3 linked regions of the Saccharomyces cerevisiae S288C genome follow. The protein of the gene in region 2 purifies or fractionates together with the protein of the main gene of each other region. This does not show direct contact. Each region holds a gene or a part of one and is shown on either strand. Other genes may lie near its edges. The genes, in order: SIT1, MTM1 and ENB1.

Region 1 (4,395 bases), on a different chromosome or scaffold from region 2:
GATGGAGTTCCTAAATTCTTCACGATCGGGAACAGGTCCTTTGTCCCAACTTGCCAGTTTATCGTCAACGAGTTTATCAATCTCGTCGTAGTGGATAGTAATCCATGGATGATCTTCATTACCGCAAGTAGTCCAATTCACTGGTGGTAGTTTTACGCTCCAAAATCTCTTATCATAATCCGCTATGCGGTAAAATGTCGATGTATTATGCGTAAAATTGTTATAATTGTCTGTTGTATCCGTACAGCATACCAATGCCAAGCCTTGAAAGGCGACGGCTAGTGCCAAAATTTTCATCCTTTCAGTATACCTGATTTTGGCTTTATCCTTTCAATGTGCCTGATTTTGGCTTTCTCGTATCTTTCGCCTGATAATATGAAAAAGTATATACTGTGAAAAAACAACCGTTGGAGAGCTACGACCGACTGAAAAGATAAAAATGCTTGAGTTTTTCAGGTTAGCATGCCGTCTAGTAGAATTAAACCATTGTAGTTCTTCACTTTTGTATTAAACGTAGGATTGAGGCGGTGGCTGCTTTTGGTTTACTATGCGTTGTAAGGGGATGGGGAAATGGAACGTCCAGAAGAAAGTTATAGTTCCCGTTTGCATAACAGCAGAGACAAAAATGGTCGAGCACTTCCGTGTTGACTGTATATCTGTGCATGGTTGACTAATTGTTGTTTGATGGCCTGAAGTTCTTGTCACACTCTGCAAATTATCCCGACATTCAGACGTACACGTACAAAACACGAATGCTACTCTAGCATATCCAATCGATCGCACTGAAGCGATCAGCTGATGATCAGGCGGTACATTGCATACTCTGCGTAAGGCCTTTTTCACCAATTGACCGCATCGTATATTTCCCAATCCGGTTATTAAATCGTTATCAGGCGGAAACCTTCGCGAACAGTATACTGGAGAGTGTTGCGACAAGATATTTAAAAGCGGAAAACGGGCATATAAAATAGATGAGTGCAGACTAATGAAAAAGACCCCAGACCCATCTCCACCTTTTGCAAGCACGAAGAACGTAGGCATGTCAAACGAAGAACCGGAAAAAATGGTTAACGATCGAATTGTGGTGAAGGCCATCGAGCCAAAAGATGAGGAAGCCTGGAACAAACTGTGGAAGGAGTATCAGGGTTTCCAAAAAACGGTTATGCCTCCGGAAGTAGCCACCACTACCTTCGCAAGGTTTATAGACCCTACGGTCAAACTATGGGGTGCTCTAGCCTTTGACACCGAGACCGGCGATGCAATTGGCTTTGCACACTACCTGAACCATTTGACGTCGTGGCATGTCGAAGAAGTTGTCTACATGAATGACTTATATGTCACTGAACGCGCAAGAGTCAAAGGCGTAGGTAGAAAGCTCATAGAATTTGTATACAGCCGTGCCGATGAGCTCGGTACGCCTGCAGTGTACTGGGTTACAGACCATTACAATCACCGCGCACAGTTGCTGTACACCAAAGTGGCTTACAAGACAGATAAGGTTCTTTACAAGAGAAACGGATACTGAAACCGCTGTGTAATGTAGACTACTGTGTATAGAGATAACTCTAGCTTCTATAGGCTCACTTGCGAAGCTTTTTTCCCACTTTTTCCCAGTGAAATAGTTTCTTATTGGCTTTTCATAGTTTGTTCTCCGATTTAATCGCAAGCGCCGTACGGCGCAGGCACAGAATGACTTGCAGCTTAATCCAGGTGCATTTTAAGAAACTTATCTGCTGGGAAGACCCCGAAGTTCATCGTTTACAATGTGCCGTAAAGAACACATTTGAGGGTGCAATCTGGTTCGTCTTTTGCCATAATTAGTAGTGCTCATCCGTGATCCTTTAATTTACTTTTGTGATGCGATGATTTGCAGATACTATATAAGCAATGGACACCGTCCATCACCGATGAGGCTAGAACATCGTAGTGCTTTGTAAAAGAACTGTTAAAGACCCAGTACGAAAATTTTTCCATAATGGACCCTGGTATTGCTAATCATACCCTCCCCGAGGAATTTGAAGAGGTTGTCGTTCCCGAGATGCTGGAAAAGGAAGTAGGAGCCAAGGTCGATGTCAAGCCAACGCTAACCACATCTTCTCCAGCACCTTCTTACATTGAATTGATAGATCCAGGTGTGCATAACATCGAGATTTACGCAGAAATGTACAACCGCCCGATCTACCGTGTCGCATTATTCTTCTCACTTTTCCTCATTGCCTATGCTTACGGATTAGATGGTAATATCCGTTACACTTTCCAGGCGTACGCGACTTCGTCGTACTCCCAGCACTCGCTGCTATCGACCGTCAACTGTATTAAGACGGTTATTGCGGCTGTAGGCCAGATCTTCTTTGCCAGATTATCAGATATCTTCGGCAGATTTTCCATTATGATTGTCAGTATCATTTTTTATAGCATGGGGACCATCATTGAGTCGCAAGCGGTGAATATTACAAGATTTGCAGTTGGTGGTTGTTTTTACCAATTGGGTCTTACCGGTATTATTCTAATTTTGGAAGTTATTGCTTCTGACTTTTCCAACTTGAACTGGAGGTTGTTAGCCTTATTCATTCCAGCTTTACCATTTATCATCAACACCTGGATTAGCGGGAACGTAACAAGTGCCATAGATGCTAATTGGAAATGGGGTATTGGTATGTGGGCTTTTATACTGCCGCTAGCTTGTATTCCGCTTGGAATTTGTATGTTGCACATGAGGTATTTAGCAAGAAAGCATGCTAAAGATAGATTGAAGCCCGAGTTCGAAGCGCTAAACAAATTGAAGTGGAAGTCCTTTTGTATAGACATCGCATTTTGGAAATTGGATATCATTGGAATGTTATTAATTACTGTATTTTTCGGGTGTGTATTGGTTCCATTCACCTTAGCGGGTGGTTTGAAAGAGGAATGGAAAACTGCGCATATTATTGTCCCTGAAGTCATTGGTTGGGTTGTAGTGTTACCACTGTACATGCTATGGGAAATAAAGTACTCGAGACATCCATTGACACCTTGGGACTTGATTCAAGATAGAGGTATCTTTTTCGCTCTACTCATCGCATTCTTTATCAATTTTAACTGGTATATGCAAGGTGATTACATGTATACTGTACTAGTCGTTGCAGTTCATGAATCCATAAAGTCCGCTACAAGAATTACCTCCTTGTATTCATTTGTTTCTGTTATCGTTGGTACAATCCTCGGGTTCATACTGATTAAAGTTAGAAGGACTAAGCCTTTTATTATATTTGGCATTTCTTGTTGGATCGTCTCATTTGGTTTGCTGGTCCATTACCGTGGTGACTCCGGTGCTCATTCCGGTATCATTGGCTCTTTGTGTCTATTAGGTTTCGGTGCAGGTTCATTTACCTATGTGACTCAAGCTTCCATCCAAGCATCCGCTAAAACTCATGCAAGAATGGCGGTAGTAACCTCATTATACCTTGCCACTTATAATATTGGTTCTGCATTTGGTAGTTCTGTTAGCGGAGCTGTCTGGACTAATATCCTACCCAAAGAAATTTCAAAAAGAATTTCCGATCCAACCTTAGCTGCACAAGCGTACGGTTCTCCATTTACATTCATTACAACTTATACCTGGGGAACACCAGAAAGAATAGCTTTAGTCATGTCTTACCGCTATGTTCAAAAGATTTTATGTATCATAGGTTTGGTATTCTGCTTTCCTTTGTTAGGTTGCGCATTCATGTTGAGAAATCATAAACTAACAGATTCTATTGCTCTTGAAGGCAATGATCATTTGGAAAGTAAAAACACCTTTGAAATTGAGGAAAAGGAAGAAAGTTTTTTGAAAAATAAATTCTTTACGCACTTTACAAGCAGTAAAGATAGGAAAGATTAATATTATCTCACCCAAATAATTTCATACATGCACATATAGCTACTACATAGTCAAGAACATATCATAACATTTGGTATAACAGTCTTTATATCAGTCTTTGCATGGCTTTGCATCTGATGCTGGCTCTACCGACTTCTCGGCGATAAAATACCAAAAGAATTTGACGTATATACTATCCAAAGTGGATAAATATTTGAGTTCCAATGAGGTAACTAAACTAGTTTTTTAAAACCCAGCAGAAAGAAAAAATACCCTATATTTGGCAGTGCTGTCCATCAGAACCATTAACTGCATCAATAATAGTTTGGGTGCTGCTGATTATCATAATCATGAAACCAAAGCATATACAAAGATAGAAAGGAAGCCTTTCCTTCCAACTCTTCTTCTTACTAGTTAACAACAAATTTGTGTATGGCGGCAAAATGTAAGCCATAGTCGATGCCGTAGTGGCCCCAATCAGTTCAAATAATGCTCCTAAATTACATGTAGTTAATGATATACCCATGGTGATGAAGACTAGTGAAGAAGTTATA
Region 2 (3,691 bases):
GTGTATGATTTGGAACAAGCATTATACGCTTCAAAGATTATTTCATATGCTCAAGGTTTCATGCTGATCCGCGAAGCTGCCAGATCATACGGCTGGAAATTAAACAACCCAGCTATTGCTCTAATGTGGAGAGGTGGCTGTATAATCAGATCTGTGTTCTTAGCTGAGATTACGAAGGCTTATAGGGACGATCCAGATTTGGAAAATTTATTATTCAACGAGTTCTTCGCTTCTGCAGTTACTAAGGCCCAATCCGGTTGGAGAAGAACTATTGCCCTTGCTGCTACTTACGGTATTCCAACTCCAGCTTTCTCTACTGCTTTAGCGTTTTACGACGGCTATAGATCTGAGAGGCTACCAGCAAACTTGTTACAAGCGCAACGTGATTATTTTGGCGCTCATACATTTAGAATTTTACCTGAATGTGCTTCTGCCCATTTGCCAGTAGACAAGGATATTCATATCAATTGGACTGGGCACGGAGGTAATATATCTTCCTCAACCTACCAAGCTTAAGGAGTTAAAGGCAAAGTTTTCTTTTCTAGAGCCGTTCCCACAAATAATTATACGTATATGCTTCTTTTCGTTTACTATATATCTATATTTACAAGCCTTTATTCACTGATGCAATTTGTTTCCAAATACTTTTTTGGAGATCTCATAACTAGATATCATGATGGCGCAACTTGGGCGTATCTTAATTACTCTGGCTGCCAGGCCCGTGTAGAGGGCCGCAAGACCTTCTGTACGCCATATAGTCTCTAAGAACTTGAACATGTTTCTAGACCTATTGCCGCCTTTCGGATCGCTATTGTTCATCATGGATATTTGCCATCTCGTCTTACCGACATCAAAAGGGTGTGTGCATATAGCAGCTATCATCCCACTTATGCAACCACTGGCAAAACTGTTTATAAAATGGACCCAGTTTGCGTCCTTAGATGCAAATCGAGTAGAATCTAGCCATAGTCTTTCCTTGCAAAGTTCATAGGAACTCCAATATATTGCACTAAACGGAACGTCTCTCCACAGAGTGATCTCCAAACCTTTGAAGAGGGCCCGAGAAGGACCCACCATTTTCATTTCCTGCCTCGTTTCGTTTAATAAATCTTTAACCATCATCCATGTCTTTGTGGACTTTGATGATCTCGGTATACTTTGCAGTTTAGTTTTAACCAATTCTAAAGGTGCAATACTTGTTGCTGCAAATACCCTCGCAATTGCACCACAAAAGAGGGGGTTTAATGTTGGGTACGTCGAGGCTATAGGAGAAACGTCTCTTATATATTCATAACCACTAAAATAAACCATGTTGGCAGGAATAGCCATTAATAGGGTCAAAGAAATACCCCTCCACAAACTTGTAATACCTTCGACGCTGGCAATTTTCGTGAATGCTTCTAAAGTACCGTTGAACTTCAACGATGAATTTTTACAGTGCAGTTCTTGAAAACAAGCACTCTCCCAAAATATTTTTGCGTTGTTCAAGTTCTGTCCTCCGACGTTGGTGAATGTCTTCATTTTGGAGCCTGAGCTAACGGCGTTGGGCACTTCGGCAGCCCCATCACATGAACAGTCAGGAATCATCTGCTGCTGTTGCAGCCGTATTCTCACTACATCCATCGGTGTCAAAATCAAAGAAGTGAGTACTGATCCAGCACCGGCACTTAACATTCGTTCTTTTAAGGTCAGGCTGTTACTTGTATTGCGATCACTCATATCGTATTATCAACACCTCGTTTCCTTTCCTACGATACTTTATGGCTTTGGCTCATACGATTCCTGTGAAGTGAACTGGCACAAATATGAGGGTAGTGTGCCCCAATTCCAGAGGAGTGATCTTCCCGGAAATATGCAAAAATGACAGAATGTGTCTTATTCTCTAATTGCTATTCTGAGATCTTCAAGATGGCGAAAAATAACGTTGCGCGTGTTTGGGTGGGTGCCAAAAGTGTCATACCTCACCGACGCAAAGATACCAAAAGGACCGTATATATCTACTATTCCTGGATCGGTTGACTTTGTTAACATGCAGAAACAAAGGTAATGTTTATAAATAGTAAATCATACATAAGTATATGTTATTACATCTTTCTTTTCTTTAGTTTACCTGTTGCGGTTGAAATTCTCTTACTTGTATTGAGCTTCTTATCACCAGATATGTACTCCCTTGGAAAAAATTCATTAATCCTTTTTTGCTTCCCCTTCTTTTTGCGTTTATTAACATCTCTAATTAAGGGAATGAGAATTTCATCAGACTTTTCGTGTGGCCAACCTAGTTGAGTCTTCATGAATGAACGAAGCATATCGAGATCTGGTACCCCCCAAACAAACGGCGTGGTATCGTGATCGACTTCTGGTCTCATATACGCATCATAAACCATGACGCTAGGAAAATCATCATCTAAGATAATTTCGTTATTTACCAGTTTTTTTCTCAGGTCTTTTTCAAATTTATTTTCCGTTTCTTGCTTACGTTTATCAAACTGCCCATTATTATACCAGTCTTTAAAATTTTTTAGGTTTCCAAATTCTGCAATCACTTCAATGCTTGAAACGGGACCCATACCCTTCAATCCATTCGTGTAATCGCTCCCTAAAAGCTGTGCCAACTCAATCATATTCTTTCTATCCAAGCCCAATAATTTTAAAATAGATTCCGCATCATAAAATTCAACATAGTTCTTTTCGTGGAACATATTTTTGTAGATCTTTGTACCTCCAAATAGGAAAACATCACTGTCATCGGTAATTATACCATCGACAAGGTTTAGTTGTAACAATTCCGCACACTGTGCTTCAGCTTCCATAGGCGCAGTGATATAGGGGATTCCAAACCTCGATAGTAATTCTTGCACTTCTTTGATCATATCCATAGTTACCTCATCCGAATCTCTTTTATCCTTCATCTGTTGTTCGAATAATTCATCCTCCACAAAAGCGTTCTCGGCAACGTTTCTTTCAGCAGAAGTGGACAAAGTCGTGTTTTTAAATGTATCAAACTCTTCTTGTTCCTTTATCATATTTTCTACTATGTTATCTTCTTCATCTTCGGAGAAGTCATAGTCGAATATAAGAGGCTTTCTATGCTCCTTATTTATAGATTCGACTTTTCTACTATCGTTATCCTCTGCTTCTTTTGAAATCTGAGATTTAGTGGGAACGTCCTCAAATAGTTCTTCTGATAAAACTTCTAAGTCATCGTCCTTGTTTTCATCATTGGAGCTCTCTTTCTCGCTTTCTCTTTCTAATATTTCCGTAGCATTTAAGCCTGTCAAGAGTTCATAGCTACTCCCTTTATTGGTAGTTTCTGCTCCACTTTCTTGTTCATTTCTTACGTTTTTATCTTCCACGAAATTTGTTGTGTTATAGGGATTATACAACTGCTGGGAAGCAGTTGAAGAAAACCAGCTCGGCATTTCAGGAATTGGAGACTTTTCCTTCGTGGCTTCTTGGGACACATTACTCTCGGTATTCTTTTGAAAAAGCAGGGAATTTTCATTGTTAAAATCAAACTGTGGTATCTTGTGAGAAATAAAATTCAGGTTTTGCTCCCCCTCTGTTAAAATAGCCCCTTTATCCTCCTGCTGAGACGGTGGCCTAAACTCAGAAAGAACTGTCTTGCTGGTCCTTTTGATGACCGACTCTGATTTGCTATTCAAATTTGTGACATGATACGGTTGCTTACTAT
Region 3 (4,348 bases), on a different chromosome or scaffold from region 2:
CAGCACTGGTTAAAATTTCGTGGGGTTACTGCTTCTTTTAAGTCGGTCAATGTTTTCTTCATTCTTTCGAACTTTGAATATTTTTTATGACGTCAATTATAAGAAGTATGAAAGTCAGGTTAGCAACAGCTAAAACTAAATAATAAAGGGCTCAAGCAGGCTTACGGCAGGTGGTGATTATATTTACACTACTAATTTTTTTTAATTCGTTTACGCTCTAGTAAAAGTTCTTCGCAACATTTTTTTTTATATTTCTTTATAAAAACTACGGGAAATGACAGGTGCGAATAATCTCATTGATTTTTGTATTGTCAAGCCCATTTAAGACTATAATATTGCTGAAATAAACGTAACAAACGTATGGATATTCACTTAGTTAGAAAAGAAAAATAAAATAAAACTAATTCGAACTTTTTGTTGTTTTTTATTTCAGACAACAATATTATACTGTTACACGCCATTATTGATTACTACTTACATTAACAGTGATTATTTCAAAGAGAATTCTAGTTCAGGAAAGAGCTTAACACTATATTTGTATCGCTAGTACTCTCCAGCTCAATATCCAATTACACGACGGAGCCATGATTGTTGTTTGATTTTGAGCTTCTCTTTCTCTCGTTCTTCTGCGGAAAGACTTTGCTTCTTGTTTACAGTAAAGCCACGCAAGAAAAAACAGAGAACAGCATTGAAAGCCGCAAACGAAATGGACACAATTATCAATAAGCGTTGAATCTTCGAATAGGATTCTATCATCTGAACACGAACCTCTGATCCAATAGGGTATTTTTTTAGATAATTGAGTGGTGATTTGTAGATTGCCATCCCTAAACTAGAGCCGAGTCGCTGTATCAACTCCTTTGCCAGACGCTGAGTCCATATAGCACCAGCGATGGAAGCACCTACTGCGTCTCCGATTTGATAAACGGACATTAGTAACCCAGTGACAGTTGCCATCTCATTGTGGGTGGTTGAAGCGTGCACTAGCGTCCACATAGGAAAACGTATCATACCACCAGCTATACCGACCACAATCTCAGCGCCAATAAGACCCGAAATCCCGTCATATACCACCCTGTATTTGTACAAAAGACCCATTCCGATGACACCAAGAAGCGACCCAGCGACTACAAAGACTTTCGGATGAGGATAGAAATGCAGCATAATGCCGACAACAATATTAGTGCATGACTGTAGAAAATTGTAAAGCTGAGCTATCCGCTGCGCACTTAATGTTGATTCTCCGAATGCTACCATTAACACGGTGACCAAATACTCTAACTCAATCTGCAAACCTAGACGCCATACAAATTCCATTAGCAATGCAACGTAGATGGTTGGATCACCTAGATATACTCGTGGGATAAATGGATTCTTAGCAAATTTTAATTCCCAAATTAGAAAGATAAAACCTAAGCAGCCACCAACCACAATCATTGCAATAATGTGACCCTCTCTCCATTTGGAGGTGGCTCCACCAGCTATTGTGAGAGGTAATAATACTAAAACTAAGAAAGCAGTGAAAAGAATGACTCCAATTAAGTTTATGTCATCCGCAAATTTCCAGAGCGTTTGACGCAGGGTCTGTCCTTTTTCTTTCAATTTTAATGGTGGTAACTTACCGCTGCGCCAGGAAATGTACTGAGCATACACATAGGGAAGGACCAATATTAGGGTGGAGATGGGCACAATGATGCAAAAAATTCCATAGCCCCAACGCCATTTATATGGTGCAACATTACCAGCAACTGAGCTAACAATATTTCCACTTACCCATGTGTTTATAATCACGGGAATCAGAAATATGTTCATCGCAAATGTACGATCTCTCAATCCAGACAGATCACCAGTCAGTGCTGTAGCAAGAAGACGAAATCCAGAATAACCGAACTGTTGTATAACAATACCTGCAAAAAGTCCGGAAAACGTTGGAGTAGCAGCAGAAATAATTTCTCCAATAGTATAGAGCACAAGCGCAAAAATCCAGCATTCTATACGTCCAAACCGATCAGATATACGTGCGTATGGCACTGCGACAACAGAGGCTACTATTGATTTGACGGTATTGATCGATCCTACTTGAGAATGCTTTCCAAAACTGTTAGCGGCATAGGTTTGTATTGATTGCGAAATCTGCCCTCCGAGTCCAGTACAGTAACCCTGCAAAAACAGAGCCACCAGTAGGGCGGTCTTGAGTGAACTAAACGTAACTCCAAAAGCTGTGAAAGAGCTGTAGTCAGACAAGACCTTGTTGACAGCGTCTATACGGCGCAAGCCAGACGTGGTAGACTTCTCAACATTGCTATCTGTCTTTTCGCTGTAGCAGACAGTGCTTTTATCGTCTAAATTGTCATTCCTAGAGTGATCAGTTTCCAGCATTTTCAGAGAGACATTCACGAGCACTTTTTTGCTATATTAGAGTTCTGCTAGGACCCAAACCATCATTTCAATTAAATAAGTCATCTCTATTATCCAAACATAGACCCTTCGCCACTCAAAAGCCACAGAGGGGTGCAATTGTAAGCCGTGGCAGCCTCTATAATAGTATACATTTGTATCACATTTGGGTGCAATAATTTAAACAGATTTTTGCAGTTGACTCAGGACTAAGGGCAATTCTTGCCCAAACTACGGAACCCTGTTTCTGATCCGAAGGGCTTATAATCCATAGAAACCCTTACATTTGCTCACTGAAAACCCTGTGTCCTTATTTGGTATATATGATGCGAGGATTAAACGAAAACGGAAAATTTTAGGTTTGAGGGTCCCATTAGTTCAACTAAAAAAGAAAAACGAAAAAAAAAAAAAACAAAGTCAAACCATAAAAAGTTTTGAACTACAGAAAATGTAGGCTTGTCTATTCTCCTGAATTTGACTTTTTTTTTTTCTAACTTTTTCACACCCCTTCATTAACTAATTAAAACTGTCGTAGAATTTCCCTTCATTTTTATTCAGCCATCCTCAGTTAGGAACGATTGATACAGCCTTCATTCGTCATTTCGTGACTTGCATGTTGGATTGGAAAATTTGCTGGCGGAGCAAAGTCAAGACGTTCAGAGGGAATAGTAAATGAGATTGTACGAACCGGTGAATATATTTTGCTGGCTAGATTTTAAATGGCCATTGTGTTATTGCTCTATCAACATAAAAGAAAGTATATGTGTTTTCAGAATCGTAAAATTTGTGACAAACTAAAAATCAGTATCTTCATAAAAGTAGTAGAGACATTTCATAGGTACGTTCCGCCCTTAGATAAATGTGGCTGCAGTTCATAATGCAGTGTGTAGTAGAGATGATTCTGTTGATCATAAACAATAATATATAATTTCACTAGTACTTGTTCTTATATGCACATAACTCGCCGTATTATCTGGCCAAATGAGCTATAGAGTAACCCTTCTCTCAGCATTATTATAATACAATACCAATGCAAGGACATATGGAAAATGCTACACAAAACTATACTTTAGTGTATTACATAACTCATACCGCACTACCAGATATATGTCGTTACTATTTAAAGTGCGGTATGTAACATAGATAAAAATAAGTATATGTATATGTATAAAAATCTTGTCGTCACAATCATCAATCATTCAGATATGTAAATTCTGCCCTCCCATGGCTTCAATGTTCTGGAAGACGCATCAACTTCGCTTCTTGGGTAGTTTCCGAATTCCAACTTAAACGACGAGCTATTGTTTGGAATCGTGAAGTCAATCGAATCAGAGCTGAAGTTCAAAGCAGCAAACAATGTTTTGTTGTCGTATTTCTTTGTGAAGCTGAACAGTTTCTTATTGTCCAAATCAATAAACTCAAAATCATATCCATATACAGTAATATCCTTGTGTGCCTTTCTAAATCTCAAGGCCTCCTTCCAGAAGTTCAAAACCGAGTTGGGATCCTTGGATTCGTCTTCAGCGTTAATTCCTTCCCTGAAAGACTCGTTCAAGTAAAACCATGGTTTAGCATTAGGACCAGAAAAACCAGCATTTGGCTCCTCACGAGACCATTGCATAGGTGTTCTAGCATGGTCTCTGGAAATAAGGGCAATTGCTTCCAAAAACCTCTTCATCTCCTTCGAGTTTTCTCCATGCTCTTCCTTGATCGCATCATAGTTATTTCTAACTTCGACATCCTCGTATTTTTCGATAGGCCAGTTCTTGAAATTGATTTCACCCAGTTCCTGTCCTTGGTACACATATAGAGTACCGCTCAGTGACACCAACAACACAGACAACAACTTACCAGAAATAACACGGTTCTTAGGAGAATCGTCACCAAATCTGGTAATTGAACGAGGTTGGTCGTGATTTTCCAGATAAATTGTTGACCAACAATCAGTTCC

The links.
Region 1: the proteins of MTM1 (region 2) and SIT1 purify together in Saccharomyces cerevisiae (affinity purification with mass spectrometry, with the first as the bait; one large-scale study listed by BioGRID). This does not show direct contact.
Region 3: the proteins of MTM1 (region 2) and ENB1 purify together in Saccharomyces cerevisiae (affinity purification with mass spectrometry, with the first as the bait; one large-scale study listed by BioGRID). This does not show direct contact.

Annotation. Positions count from the first base shown.
Region 1 is NC_001137.3:25,682-30,076, forward strand, and holds SIT1 (siderophore transporter), read left to right. Parts: upstream 1-1,975; coding exon 1,976-3,862; downstream 3,863-4,395. Other genes in the region: YEL068C (uncharacterized protein), read right to left, coding at 1-297; YEL067C (uncharacterized protein), read right to left, coding at 508-1,095; HPA3 (D-amino-acid N-acetyltransferase), read left to right, coding at 1,040-1,525; AVT2 (Avt2p), read right to left, coding at 4,116-4,395. UniProt on the Saccharomyces cerevisiae protein: Involved in the transport of siderophore ferrioxamine B and so has a role in iron homeostasis.
Region 2 is NC_001139.9:1,005,587-1,009,277, forward strand, and holds MTM1 (Mtm1p), read right to left. Parts: upstream 1,720-3,691; coding exon 619-1,719; downstream 1-618. Other genes in the region: phosphogluconate dehydrogenase (decarboxylating) GND2, read left to right, coding at 1-516; ssDNA endodeoxyribonuclease RAD2, read right to left, coding at 2,085-3,691. UniProt on the Saccharomyces cerevisiae protein: Involved in the mitochondrial activation of SOD2 by specifically facilitating insertion of the essential manganese cofactor. Has the ability to activate iron regulon in an iron-dependent manner. Responds to calorie restriction (CR) strength.
Region 3 is NC_001147.6:18,933-23,280, forward strand, and holds ENB1 (Enb1p), read right to left. Parts: upstream 2,380-4,348; coding exon 559-2,379; downstream 1-558. Other genes in the region: oligo-1,6-glucosidase IMA2, read right to left, coding at 3,593-4,348.